Linked DNA regions of Stegostoma tigrinum. Each later gene encodes a partner of the first gene's protein in a complex. Links are inferred from orthologs where the notes say so. Each region holds a gene or a part of one and is shown on either strand. Other genes may lie near its edges.

The links.
Region 2: the proteins of pink1 (region 1) and tomm5 are in contact, whole or in part, in a cryo-EM structure (PDB 9EII), measured with the Homo sapiens proteins. The link is inferred for Stegostoma tigrinum from reciprocal best matches to the Homo sapiens genes PINK1 and TOMM5. Residues at the interface, in NP_115785.1 of Homo sapiens: Gln484, Ala488, Gln491, Ser495, Lys496, Pro498, Val502, Lys520, Leu522, Lys523, Leu524, Met527, Glu565, Cys568, Gln569, Ala571, Leu572, Leu573, Cys575, Ser576, Trp577, Ala579, Ala580; in NP_001001790.1 of Homo sapiens: Met1, Phe2, Arg3, Ile4, Gly6, Leu7, Ala8, Lys10, Leu11, Asp12, Pro13, Glu14, Met16, Lys17, Arg18.

Annotation. Positions count from the first base shown.
Region 1 is NC_081381.1:30,930,785-30,938,018, reverse strand, and holds the start of pink1 (serine/threonine-protein kinase PINK1, mitochondrial), read right to left. Parts: upstream 3,092-7,234; 5' UTR 2,755-3,091; coding exon 2,428-2,754; exon of another isoform or gene 2,201-2,427; intron 851-2,200; exon of another isoform or gene 724-850; coding exon of another isoform or gene 718-723; intron 600-717; coding exon 108-599; intron 1-107. UniProt on the Homo sapiens protein: Serine/threonine-protein kinase which acts as a sensor of mitochondrial damage and protects against mitochondrial dysfunction during cellular stress.
Region 2 is NC_081356.1:12,772,256-12,779,947, reverse strand, and holds tomm5 (mitochondrial import receptor subunit TOM5 homolog), read left to right. Parts: upstream 1-4,616; 5' UTR 4,617-4,699; coding exon 4,700-4,820; intron 4,821-6,716; coding exon 6,717-6,751; 3' UTR 6,752-7,557; downstream 7,558-7,692.

The DNA.
Region 1 (7,234 bases):
TGGAAGCAAAAGAAATTCCAATTGCAAGTCTCGTGCCACATCACCAGCATATGGTTATCTTCCACTTGGCTCAAACAACAAATTGTGCATTTCAATGTTTGACTTACATTTATGTTCCAAAGCATTTTTAGAGCAAGTGGATAGCTGGTTTCTCCTTCAGGTACCTTCAGGGGGTAGTTGGTGTCTTCCTCGAAGGCCCTCAGGAGGTAACTGCTGCCTCCACAAGAAACTCTCAAGGGGTTGCTGGTGTCTCCTTCACAAGCCCTCAGCGAGTCTGTTAACATTTCTTTTTTCAAAATCACAAAACTCAAACTTGAGTTTTCCTGTGTAATCGCTACCTTCTTTCTTTCTCCAGAATCCTCACCAGAGACACACTGACCTTCACTCTTCACCTGCCTGTTAACTACTTCATCTTTCTCCTTTGTCGTGATCTTGTCACTTGCTTTTGTTTTGGGTACTTCAGGGATAAAGGCCTTGTACACAGCTGCATTACACCCCTTTCCAATGTTGTATCCAATCTTGTAATCTTCAAATCGATATCCACTCGTGTGTGAAGGCATGGAGTTTTCATACTTGATTTTCTTCCTTTTAAACAATGTCTGGCAAATGGAAATAATTCAACAATTATTCTCATTAACTAACCAAATATATGCAAATAAGTGCACATTTATGCAAATTGGAACTTTTTCAAATGTAGTTATAAAGAATGAACCAAACCTCCATTCAGTTTTGAGTAGAATTGATTTTAAAACAAAAACAAAGCTCTGCCAAGAAGAGATCCGCCATTAATATGACTCCACCAAATTCTTCACCACTAGCGAACAGTGCAATTCTCCAGGGCTTGCTTAGGAAATTATGAAGCTACGGCTTCATTGTCAGACTATGAAGAAAGAAAGACTGACATTGTGGTAAACTCCTACGTTTCATAATAATGTTGAATGTTTAGGAACATAGAGTCCCTCAAATCTGTGCTCCCATTCTAGATTATGACTGATCATCCACCCAAAAACCATTTTCCAATACTATCCCCATATCCCAAGATGTTATTAGTACGAGCTTCCTTGTGGTAGAAAACGAATTATATCAAGCAAGTCAAAACAACGCTCACTGATGTAGCAGAAATTTTGCTATTTGGGCATTTTGTTGCTCAACTAAGTCTTATTTTGTCTCAGTTTTCTAATTCTCCAAAAGGTGTGTCCTCTGTTAACCTATTGGTTCATGTTTACAATTGGCAGTGTTAAATAGTGACAGATCATATTTGAAAATTAAATTTAGGAAACATTTTACTGATTTTTAAAAAATTTTTAAACATTTTTATTTGCCATATCTCCACTCCTTAATCTCATCTTTCTTTTGCTTTCTGAACATAATTGCTCAGTGAATTCAATATTAAAACTTACACTTCCTGGTTCAAACTTTGAAAGTGTCAATCTTTCTATTTCTTCTCGTGTTCTTCAGTACTCAAATTCTCTGTAGGATATTGTGTTGTCCATTTCTAAATCACACATTTTTTATTGCTAAAGCTCATACAAAGTCTGTAGGCAATTTTATGTCTTATGCACGGCTAGGATGAGAGGTTGAGGATAAGAGGTAGCAGATTTAAAGAGAGAGGAGGGGAAAATTACTTCTTTCAAAGGGTTGTGAATCTGTGGAATTCACTATTTCAGTATGCGCTGGATGCTGGGACATTGAGTAAATTTAAGCAGGAGATAGACAGTAAATTGGCTAAATGGTTATGGAGAGGACAGAGGAGAGTAGAGTTGAGACCAAGAAGAGATCAGCCGTGTTCCTATCAAACGGTGGAGCAGGGTCAAGGGATTGAATTGCCTATCCCTGCTCCTTGTTCTTCTGACATTTTAAAAAAATTTGCTGGGTAGTTATTGGGATATGATTGCACAGCATCTATTTAATAAAATGGACCAAAAGAGCCTAGACCATCATATCAAAGTTTAAATGGAAGTTGACCGTCAAAATTTGGTGACGTCCAAACTGACAGAGAGCTTAATCAGGTAAACTACATCAGGTGCATGTCAGAGATCATAATAAAAGTTTAGGTAAGAAAGGAGAGCATTCAACTTGGGGCTTTCGCCTAAAATTGACGTTGAGAAAATTAGCTTCCAACACCACTATCACCTACAGCGAAGCCGGCGAAAAGTCAGAGATAACGGGAACTGCAGATGCTGGAGAATTCCAAGATAATAAAATGTGAGGCTGGATGAACACGGCAGGCCAAGCAGCATCTCAGGAGCACAAAAGCTGACGTTTCGGGCCTAGACCCTTCATCAGTCCAGCCTGTCTCTGCCTCCACATTTTATTATCCGGCGAAAAGTCAGGCGGCTGTTAGACAACAGCAAGACGGAAAAGCAGCATATCGCAAGGAGCATTAATCTATTTGTTCAAACGATGCCCGGACCGACGTTTATTTACCTGGATCTCCTCGCAGGCAGCGATGCTCGTCCTCACCTCCTCCACCTGCTGTTCGATGAAGCCCAGGCCCAGGCCGAAGGCCAGCAAAGCACCGCCCGGCCCGCGGAGCTGCCAAGACGCCCGGCGCTGTAGCTGAGCCGCTAGGCCGCCCAAAGACAGGCGGAAATAGCGGTAGCGGGCGGGTAGGACGGCTTGGAGCGGCTGCTGGGCCCAGGGTTGCACAAAGGCCGCGCCCGCCTGAGCCCGAGCTCGAGCTGCGGGATTGACGAGGCGCAAGGCCGAGCGGCTGAGGTCCAGGCCGCGGGCCAGGAGTCGTCGCACCGACATTTTGAAGGTTTAAAACCTCCGATTTATCTTTTCAACATTGTTGAAGATAAACAGCAACCGTTTGAGACGAAAGGGAACGTTAAATGTTACCAACCGGGAAATATCACCTTCAAAACAAGCCCGGTAACCATAGCAACAGTCATCATAAACCGCCTCCGAACTGGGCAGTTACAAACCAAACACCAGCTTTATTTTCAGCTGCAGATCCGCCCCTTCAAAGACCAATGAACACAATAACATGGAGACAGCGTGGTCCACTTCCAAGGTATTTACGATTTTGTTGCTTTCCCATGAAGGCCAGCAGAGAAAACTAGGAGAAAATATCTTCCAGAAAATCTCAAGCCCACAAGACATGGAATTAGCACTGACACAAAATTTGGGAGAGAAAAGGCCAACCTCGAAGCTTGAAAAATAGTGAACAGAACACCCTCTACGAAAAGTAAAAAATAGCAGTGATGAAAACATTGGATGGGATGGAAATTTTGGGAAAAGATGACCAACAGCTTGAAAAACAATGATAGAATTTCCATAAAAGCCCACAATTCAAGAATATCCGTTCTATTACAGATACTTCGCCATACAAAGTTGATGTCTCTACCCAGCATTGTTAAGCACGTCCTCTAGACCCATATTTTGCTTCTTAATAATCTATTAACGCTCCCCATTATGTTTTGCTGCCATGTTTTCAGCTCAGTTCCACAACTCAGCTTCTTGTCTCTCTCCTTGCGTAACCCTCCTTTTTATCCGGCTTTGTACTCGCTTCTAAACTGTTAAACCTCTTATCTTGTTCTCATTATGATAAGTGATCATTGACCTGAAGCTTAACTGCACTTATCTGTACTCTGATGCTGTGTAACCTCCTCAGTGCTTTCAACGATTTTGTTTCATAGCTTTACCTTTTAATGACTTGGAAAATGAAACAAGTACCAGCAAGCCTCAAAGGAGGAACACAAACATTAAAAACACAGATCTGGTTATGAGTCCTTTAAGGAGGGAACTCCTAGGGTTCATACCCTCATGGAAAATTTTAAGTTCACATTTTACAGTTGAAAATTCTGGTTACAACAACTCAGATTTATATAGTCACTTGGCGGAACAGAATCTGAGTATGATTGTAACACCAGCAGGATGGGTTCAGTTGTCATACTAGCTGAGGTTACCATGAAGGTCTGTCCTTCTCAACCTCTTCCCCTTGCAAGGTGACTCACAGGGTAAGCCATCACCGATCATCTCTCTCTTGAGAAAGCAGTACTGTGGTCTTTGGGACTATGGCGACTTTGCTCTGTGGGGAGTCGAGTAGCTTACTTGGCTGGCTGGATTGCGATACCAACATGTGAATTGAATTCAAGTACTGCATGAGGTCACTATGAAGGTCCCATCTTCTTGAGCTCACCCCTTGCCTGAGGCGAGGTGACCCTCAGGTTAAACTACCGCTGGTCGTCTCTGTTTAATGAGCGAGCAGCCCTACGTCCTTTGGGACCAGGGTAACAACTTTATTACTGCAAAAGGAAACATGCTGTTGAAATTAGAGATAATGGGAACTGCAGATGCTGCTTGGCTTGCTGTGTTTATCCAGCTCCACACTTTGTTACGCTGTTGAAATGTTTTGTCCTGCAGTCATCATGACAATTACAAGAATATCAAATTTCAAACGGAGCAACAATTTATACTACATGGGGGGGGGGGGGTATAGATTAGAGTTAATTGCAATTTTCTTTTACCTGGGATGGGGTATTTCAAAACTAGAGGGCACGTTTTTAAGATGGGAGGAGAGAGATTTTAAAAAGCCATGAGGGGCAATTTTTTATTTTACAAAGAGGGTAGTTCACGTGTTGAATGAATTTCCTGAGGAAATGGTGGTTGTTGGTATAATAACAACATTTAATAGACATTTGGATAAGTACATGAATAGGAAATGTTTGGAGGGATATGGACCAGGACCAGGCAGGTGGGGCCAGTTTAGTTTGGGATTACATTTCGCATGGACTGGTTGGACTGAGGGGTCCATTTCTGTGCTGTATGACTCAATGACTCTATGCATGGAAAAAGGATACTGATTGTTTGGCAAGTAGACGCTGACTGAGGTGTTTACATGGAGAATTCCCCTAGAGAAATGTTGTTCCCTCCCCCCAACCTTTTTGGTTTGTTGAAAAAGGCACAATATCTGCAGGGTTTTATTTTGTTTTGCTAAAAGCTACATCTATTCATACACAGGACTCTCAAAAAGCCTATTTCTTCCCCACATTCAACATTTCCTTCTTATTTATTGCTCAACCCAACCCCTCCCCTTCTTAGTTGTTACCATCCTACCTCTCTCCACATTTATCACTTATTCATTGCCATCCAAGTACTACCACCGTTATCCCCTTCATTATCTCTCTCCCCTGCTCTTTATTCACTCCCACTACCCTTTATTAATGCCCATCTTCCCTTCACTATCTCCACCTCAAAGTGCGGATATCCATTTGCTCTGTATGTAGAAATGAAAGGTACTACTCCTCTGCATTTACTTCACTCAAACAAACCTCTTAAATTAACAGCATAACCAATGTCATCAGTATCTTTAAGCATAGAGACATTTAAACAATGGTAGGCACATGGAATGGGAAGAGGAGGTTTTGGTAAACAACCTAAATATCTCCTGTCAGCTAGTTTCGTAATAAAGAAAAATCTTGTATCAGCTGTAGGTCAGTTGATAGTACCCTTATCTCCCAAGACAGAAGGTTATGAATTTCAGTCTCATTCCAGGATGCAAGTACATAAGTTTAGATATCAGATCGTTATTACATTGCTATTTGTGGGAGCTTGCTGTGTGCAAATTAACTGTTGCTTTCTCTACATTACAATAGTGACTAAACTTCAAAAAGTACTTAGTGGCCATAAAGCATTTTAATTCATCCTGAGGTCATGAATGTGCTATAGAATTGCAAGTCTTTATTATCAATTTTGAGGTAACCCTCCTGTTTTTTTTTCTTCTATTGTGGGTGTTTCTGGCAAGGCCAGCAATTGCTGCCCATCTCTAATTACTGTTGAACTGTGGCTTGCTCGGCCGTTTCAGAGGGCAGTTAAGAGTCAATTACTTGTCTGTATGTCTGGAGTCAAATGTAGGCCATTCCAGTTAAAGGTAGCAGATTTAATTCCCAAATGGACAATTGTGAACGAGATGGGTTTTTATAACAAATTGTCATGGTTACCAATACTCAAACTGGCTTTATAATCCAGATTTATTCACTGAATTAAAATTTCATCAGCTGCCATGGTCGGTTTTGAACCTCAGAGGATTAACCTGAGTGATGATTACCAGCCCAGTGGCATTACCATTACTGCACTAAACATAAACACCAGTGCTGCACTGCAAATTTCCAAAATGAAAGGCAAATATGTACCGTGAGAAACATAGGTCATCATTCAGGTGTTAAAAATAAATTACCCTACATACGAGGTATTGTAGTGGATTTCACTAGCTTATTTTGAGAATACACTTGCCTTTTTTGGCATGGTCCCCCTATTTCCCATTTCTTTCTGATCTTGGCTTTAGTGAGCCCTGCTTTCAAACTTCTAGTTTCCAGCTTCACCTTTGTGATCTTGGTCTCCCATTCACCCCTGTCTGGGCTTTTTACTCTTCTGTTCCTTTCCTTGTCCTCTGGTCTGTTGATCTCCTGGCTTACTTTTGAGGTTTCCCATCCCCCTTTCCCAGGAGAATTAGGACGTCTGTAGCCATTTGTCATATCTTTCGGAAATGCCCAAATCAGTTTAAATGTATGAATCCGATTTCAAAGTATTGACTTAGCAAAGTCCCACACAGAGCAAATGAGATGAATAACCAGTTATCTTGTTTTTGGTCACATCACTCACAGGAGGATTTTGTACAGGACACCTGAAGAACTTACTTATTCTTTCATTTATGTGCTTTCGTATCCACTTAAATCACCTGGACAGGTGATAGAATCTATCTAATTTGTCTGCAAACAACACTTTCCTTTAGCATGTTTTGTTTTTGGGCGGTGTCTTGGAAGGTTTTACAGTGCACTACTCAGTGCAAAGGATATAGCTAGAGACCAACTTTTTCAAAGTAGTTCTTTATTTACATTATGTTAAATACATACATTCTAGCAAAGCACGCAACCTGGGTTGTTGCTCCTTCTTCAGAAGCTTATGTGATCATAACATTATCAATAAGTAGCTTCCTCTGTATATGTTCAATAGTTAGTGTTAGAAATAACCCTTTGCACTACATCTTACCTCTCTCCTGTTCAATTATTTTTCTCTCTGCACAATGGAATTCCTGCTCTTCCTACTCCTGTATACTACTGCACTGGAATCACATCACCAGCTCAAGCTCTGAATTAAGCTTGAATGTACAATCAAAGGGGATCTAATTTTGAGATCCCAATATGTAAGTCAGTTTTTACCATGATTAAGGACAGATGCAGAGCACTCTCAAAAATTGAATGCAAAGTAATTCAAATCTATTTGCAGT
Region 2 (7,692 bases), on another chromosome or scaffold:
GGACTCTGGACATGTCGGGAAGTTGGCATGGCGATTCTCCGAAAGGAACTTTAAGGTGCTGGTTGAGGGCCCATCTTCCTGTAGGACACCAGAGGAAGCTACAGCATTCCCGCTGATATTGTGTTTTTCCTCTTCAAGGCAGACCTCCGAGGTCCATGAGCAGCAACAACTTCCAAAACCAGAAGTCATGGCACTGGCATGGCAACTGTTTGGTGTGGGTCCCAGAGACTAAGACTGACAGAGGGTGGTCTGACGTTCTACTACTCAATGCCCCTCACAGGGGGAGACCAGGACCTGTCTCCCCTGTAGGGTTGCTGAGACAACCAGGTCCTACCGGCCAACTAAACGGGACCACTCTAGTAAAAGATTGCCATGTGGGTCAGTACTATGTGGGTGACCACCATCCGAAGGAATTGACAGCCATGCTGTAAGAAGGCGCAGAGGCTAAAGGCTTTTCTTGTTTAGAAAGATATCAGGTGTCAGCGCATGTTCTTTGTTCGTTAGTGACACTGTCCACTGTAGCAAGCTAAGTGCTGCACTCTTCCTGCTGCCATTTCACACTCACTCTATCTCTGTTCTCCCCTCATTCGTCACCATTCTCACTATTGCCTGCAGCATCTCCCCTCCCTTTCTCTCATTCCAGGAGAACATAGCCATGTAAGGGAGGCATCAGCCTGGTGGTAATATCGCTGGAATGTTAATCAGAGACCCAAGTAATATTCTGGGGACCTGGGTTTGCATTGTGGAAGTTGATTTCAATTTTTAAGTCTGAAGCTAAGAGTCTAGTGGTGATTGTTGATTGTTGGAAACCCCAGCTGGCTCACTAACATCCTTCAGGGAAACTGCTATGCTCGCCCGGTCTGGTCTACATGTGACTCCAGAGACACAACAATGTGGTTGACTCTTAACTGCTCTCTGGGCATTTAGGGATGAGTAGTAGATGTTGGCCTTGCCAGAGGCCAGGCACCTACACGGCCCCCAGCAGGACAGGACCCAGTGGTGCGGGGAATCAGGAACTTCGACCACAATGAACTGGGAGGAACAGCAGCAGGTGTGTGGGAGGGAATGGCCCCAATTTACCAGAAGCTGCAGCGATTCCTGCAACTGTCTAACTGTATCCACAGATAAACTGGCGATTTCCAAGGAAAGACAGGCCCAGCCCCCTCAGGATCTGCTTGCATGCGCCCACTATCCATTGCCCCAGCCACTGGTCGGCAGGCCTGTAGCATGGCAACGTGGAGATGGGGCACCTTCTGTGCACTCTAGATGACCCCGTCCCCACCAGGATACAAAGCAGTGCCCAGGGATAGCCACCAGAGGAGGAACCACACTCAAAAAGCCCTTCAGCAATCTCCTCTCGGGACACTCCAGAGGTAGCTGGGGCCTTCCCCTCCTGCCGCCTATCAAAAACAAGGGAACCTGCCACAAAATGGGATCCATCCATTACCATTTCCCCACATATACCCAATAAAATGGGCTGATTTAACCTTACAATCCATTCTCTGTTGGTCAAGCTGCTGTTTGGAGTTGCAGAATGCTACTGAAGTGTTTAAAATAATGTAAGTCTGAAAGAATGCTTACAGCAAATCTAATTTTTTTCCCTTGTGGGGTGCAGGCAGAGCAAGGGACCACAATTTGAACCTCTTACACCTCTTAACAGCTGAAATAAACTTCTCTCCTGGAGCCATCTCTTCACCAAGAGAATAATGAGGTCTTTGGCTGCAAATTGTCACTCATTTCTCAGTACTATCTGAGCCATTAGGTGAGCAGAATTTTCAACTACAAATGCACACCTTTTCAAGGTTAATGCACTCATTATAAGATCATCATCTGTGTGAAATTGCATGCTGGATTTCAAAAGCAGATGCAGGATTGCAGTAACAAGCACATTGCAAGTTTGTAAATGAAATTCTGCAAAGAGTTTCTATTCTCTTGTTTACATTTTGCCAACTACAACAGTTACATGATGCGCTCAGCAGAGGGAGACAGGATACAGAGCAGAAGGCACTATTGTGATAGTAAACCCATATTCAAAGTCTAACTACAGAGATCAACTGCATATTCACAAGAAGTCCCTGCAGCACAAATGAAGGAACATACATGGCTTCAAATGTACCATAATTATTGATCTCAAACTTGGGTTTGGACTTTCAGATAGGTTCTGAAAAGCCAATTTGTGCACTTTCCTACCTTCCCCACAATTGCAGACCAAGCTCGTGGGATTTTGCCAGGGATTGTTGTTCTTCCACACAGGATTTGTGTTTGCCAGATTTTTTTTTGCTGGGTGCAAAGCCAAGCAGGCTAGAAGGATTACCGCTATTTCTGAAGACTCCAGCTGTGCTCCCAACATGTTTTAAAATGTGAAACCTCACCCTTATATATGCATACACATGGTCTTCCCTTATCTGTCATGGCCATTCACCCAGTATCCACTACATACAATCCTCAGAGGCTATGCAAGACATTCAAAATGAGTTTAAATGCAGTCAATACAGAGTGGAAGTGGAGGAACACAGTAAGTCAGGCAACATCAGAGGAGCAGGAAAGTCGACGTTTCGGGCCGGAACCCTTCATCAGGACTGGGGAGGGGGTACGGAGCTCAGAAGTAAATAGGAGGGGGTGTGATGCTGGGGGAAGGTAGGTAAGATGGTGATAGGTGAATTGTAGAGTTTCATCAGAGGGAAGGGTGGAGCAGAAAGATAAGAAAGAAGATGGACAGATTATGTCAGGTCAAGGAGGCGGTGATGAAAGCAAGGGCTGCTCGTGGGACGGGGCTAGGGGTGGGGAGATTTTGAAGCTAGTGAATTCTATATTGAGGCCATTGGGCTGTAAGCTGCTGAGAAGCAAGATAATGTGTTTTTCGTCCAATTGTTGTGTGGCCTCATTGTGACATTGGAGGAGGCCCAATTTGGTCATGTCACCAAGAGAGTGGGAGAGCAACCAGGAGGTGGTATTGAATGGAGCATACAGAATGCAGATGCTCCGTAAGTCAGTCACTGAGTCTGCACTTGGTCACTCTGATGTAAAGGAGACCACATCTAGAGCAATGGAAGCTGTAGACTAGGTTAGATGATGTACAGGTGAATCCCAGTTGGACTTGGAATGATTGTTTGAGGCCTTGGACAGAGGTGAGAGGGGCTGTGTAGGTGTAGGGATTAGTTTAAAGGCAGTTGCAAAGAAAAAATATTTGACAATGTATTAAAATTCTAATTCAAACATATTACCATTGATACACAATGTTATCACAACCGCGTAAAATTGTCAGTCAGCACCTTGAAGAGCTGTCAACTGCCAACTGGGTGTTGGAACTCAGCCAAGCATTCTTATTGAATACAGTTTTTAAAACATTACCATCCCAACTCCAAAGGCTGAAATTGAAAGAAGAATTAGTATCATCTGCATTTGAACAGGCTGTCTCCAATGAATGGAGGGGAGCAAGCATTAAGGTTGTTCAAATGTCCAAATTTTGCTGTTATTTTTCTGACAGAGTTGGCTGCAGATTTAAATCCCAGTGTTACCACATTGGAAAGCATTTTACAACACATTTTTTCTATATTTTTGAATGCATTATGGCTCTTTCTCAAATGGAAATACTGTAATATATTTCAAAGCTTACACAATACTGGTTACTGTAATAGCTTTCTCTATTTTTAAATAATATTCATCTCCTCCACACTGGTTAGCACTGCTGCCTCACAGCACCAGGGACCTAGGTTCAATTCCACCCTTGATAACAAAGTGTGGAGCTGGATGAACATAGCAGGCCAAGCAGCATCTCAGGAGCACAAAAGCTGACGTTTCGGGCATAGACCCTTCATCAGAGAGGCGTTTGCACGTTCTTCCTGTCTGCATGGGCTTCCTCCCACAGCCCAAAGATGTTCAGATTAGGTGGACTGGCTATGCTAAATTGCCCATAGTGTTCAGGGGCGTGTAGATCAGGTGGGCTGTAGGGGAACGGGATGCTTTGAGGGTCAGCAGGGATTCTATGATCATCCTGCAAAAGTAGCCTCATATATTTATTATATTATTATACCACATTATATTCCAACTGCCAAGCTCTTGCCCAATCACTTAACCTGATTATATGCCCACACTAAATAAAAACTGAAAGAACGCGGATGCTGTAAATCACGAACAAAAACAGAAGTTGCTGGAAAAGCTCAACAGGTCTGGCATCATCCGCCATACCTGCTGAACTTTTCCAGCATAATAATAAAATGTGAGGCTGGATGAACACAGCAGGCTAAGCAGCATCTCGGCCTGCTGTGTTCATCCAGCCTCACATTTTATTATCTTGGAATCTCCAGCATCTGCAGTTCCCATTATCTCTGAACTTTTCCAGCAACTTTGTTTCTTTTATACGCCCACACTATTTGCCTCCCCACCTGTTTCCGTGTCTTGTCTACTGGCCATGTACATTCACTTTCCTCACCCAGGGGAGGAGGAGTGGGGCGGGGGAGAGGAGCACATGGCTCGTCCCGGCTCTCAGACTTAACTCACGTGGGTCCACACTCCGAGCGGGACCGCCCATTTCCGCTGTCAGTCACTTGCCCGAGAAGGGGCGGGGCCAGAGGGGCGTCGCCTCGAGACCCCGCCGGCGCGCCTGCTCTTCCAGGTGATTGGAGGCAGGCGGGTCACGTGTGAGCCTGGGCGGGGCAAATCGGCGAAGGGTCCGCCACCCGCTGCTGCTGCCGCCACCATGTTCAGGATGGAGGCGCTTGGCCCGAAGATGGATCCGGAGGAACTGCGCAAGAAGATGCGGGCGGACGTGCTGCGCTCGCTCCGCAATTTCCTAATTTACGTGGCCGTACTGCGGGCGAGTGAGTATCATGCGGTGGAGGGCGCAGGGGTGCCGCGGCCCTCCCAGGCCTAACGGGAATGTCTGCCCTGCCTCTAGTGGGTGTGATTTCCCCCCGTAGCCCACCCTCAATATCGGGGAACAGGCGAAGCCGCGGGGGGGAGGGAGCAGGATGGTGGAGTGGGGGTCCTGCCGTGCAGGGTGAGGGAGAAGCTGCACTGAGTGCTGAGACTGTGGGGAACAGGAGGGAACTGCACCCACGCTGACCATCCCATCCCCAGACAGGTTTGTTAGGTTTCTGGGTGAATCTCCCAAGTCAGAGCTGCGAGGAATAATGTTTTATTTGCTCCTCGGCACTAACCCTTTTAACACCCAAGGAGTGGGAGGGGGGGTGGCATGCCCCTTCCTGGGCCGCCTCCACTGCCACAGTGATGCCACGTGCAAAACTGGAGGAACAACGCCTCATATTCTGCCTCAGGAGCATACAGTCCGATGGCCTATACAAAGAATTCGCCAGTTTCTAAATCTCCCTGTCCCTGGGCCTCATGCCATCGCCAACCCTCCCCCTCATCCTTGCTTCCTTGACCTGATGCAACTTGTCCATCTCCTTCTCCTTCCCCACCCCCACCCCCACCCCCACCTGCCCCACCCCCACCTGCCCCACCCCCACCTGCCCCACCCCCACCTGCCCCACCCCCACCTGCCCCACCCCCACCTGCCCCACCCCCACCTGCCCCACCCCCACCTGCCCCACCCCCATCTGCCCCACCCGTCCCACTGACCAATAGAACATAGAACAGTACAGCACAGAACAGGCCCTTCAGCCCACAATGTTGTGCCGACCATTGATCCTCATGTATGCACCCTCAAATTTCTGTGACCATATACATGTCCAGCAGTCTCTTAAATGACCCCAATGACCTTGCTTCCACAACTGCTGCTGGCAACGCATTCCATGCTCTCACAACTCTCTGCGTAAAGAACCTGCCTCTGACATCCCCTCGATACTTTCCACCAACCAGCTTAAAACTATGACCCCTCGTGCTAGCCATTTCTGCCCTGGGAAATAGTCTCTGGCTATCAACTCTATCTATGCCTCTCATTATCTTGTATACCTCAATTAGGTCCCCTCTCCTCCTCCTTTTCTCCAATGAAAAGAGACCGAGCTCAGTCAACCTCTCTTCATAAGATAAGCCCTCCAGTCCAGGCAGCATCCTGGTAAACCTCCTCTGAACCCACTCCAAAGCATCCACATCTTTCCTATAATAGGGCGCCCAGAACTGGACGCAGTATTCCAAGTGCGGTCTAACCAAAGTTTTATAGAGCTGCAACAAGATCTCCCGACTCTTAAACTCAATCCCCCTGTTCACTAGCCCCTACTTGCATCCACCTATTGCTATCCCACCTGCCTTCCCCCAGTCCCCCTATTTATTTCTGAGGTCCCTTACCCCTCCTCAGCCCTGATGAAGGGTCTGTGCCTGAAATGTCATCTCTCCACCTCCTCTGCTGCCTGACCTGCTGTGTTCCTCCAACTCCACACTGTATTGACTGAATCTAGCATCTGAGGTTCTTGTGATCTGACTGTTCAGAAATTACATGGAGTGTAATTTCCTTACCTATAATGGTGCCATTCTCATAATTGTTACATTCTGTAGTAACAAATTGTACAGTAAAGTGAGAAATCTCACTATTTCATCTTTCATAATGTTACTTGGGGTCAGTAGGATCCATTGCCTAAATGAATTGACAGTGCTCTTGGCATATTAACCATTAGGTTTTTCCAAGTTATGGTTATGTACAAGTACTGAAACAAAAGGTGCCAATGTAGTCATTAAACTCAACTTGTCCACCTTACCATAATTGCCTCTGTTAGATGTTATGTTGCCAGTTATATTCAATCATATCCTCTGTTTTTCAGCTCCATTTGTCCTAAGTAAACTGGATAGTATATGAAGTTCAGTGAAACCAACGTACTGCAGGACAATAGTCAAGCCAAACTTCATGCTTGTTGCTACAAGATGATAAACTGAATGTGGACAATTGGAAATCTTATTGCTACTAAGGAATGGATCTTTTAAACTACAGGATAAAGTGTCAACTCTCAACATATTGAAAACGTCTACCTGTGCTACTGGATTAATTGTTTTGTTGTGCTTCTCTTACATTGAGTAATCTACCACTTTATTTTGTACAAAGCCTTCTGTAATTGTTTTGTCACAGATCCCCTCCTGTATCAGTATGCAAAACAAACCTGTTTGTACACACATGGACGTCTGTCCAGAGTTTGAATCTGATCCGAAGTGCAGCTGGATAGAAATCAGCTGAGTTTCCTCAACATCAGCAAATACTGCAATTCTTTCTCTATAGTGATTCTGAGAAACATAACTGAATTTTATGAATCATTAAGGGAGCACAGAATGTCTTGGAAATACTTGAGGAAATTCAGCTGGCCTGACAGCACCTGTGGAGAGAGAGTTAACATTTCAAGTCTGTTGTGACTCCTTTTCAGAACTGAGTTCTGAGCTTTTTCTCTCCAGTATTGTTTCAGCTTTTCAGCATCCTACAGAGTTTCAGTCATTGCAAATGTTTGTCATGTCTCTGGTCTTAAGAGGTGCACTGTCAGAAGTGATATGGAATAATGATACTTTCCCAGCTGTGATTTGAGTTGTTTTCTACTGGATTTGCTTTAAGTGGTTTTGTATGAAAATTAATGCATTTTATTATTAATTAAAAGAATCAGTAACTATTCATCTCCTGAATATGAAGATTTAAACTGTCTCATTACTAAGTTGCGTATGATTTCAAATTTTTTTCCTCTGCTTTCTACGCTTCTTCTAACTCCAGTGGTCTTTCTATGATCTAAATTATGAGATTGGTGTCTGCTACATTTTTAG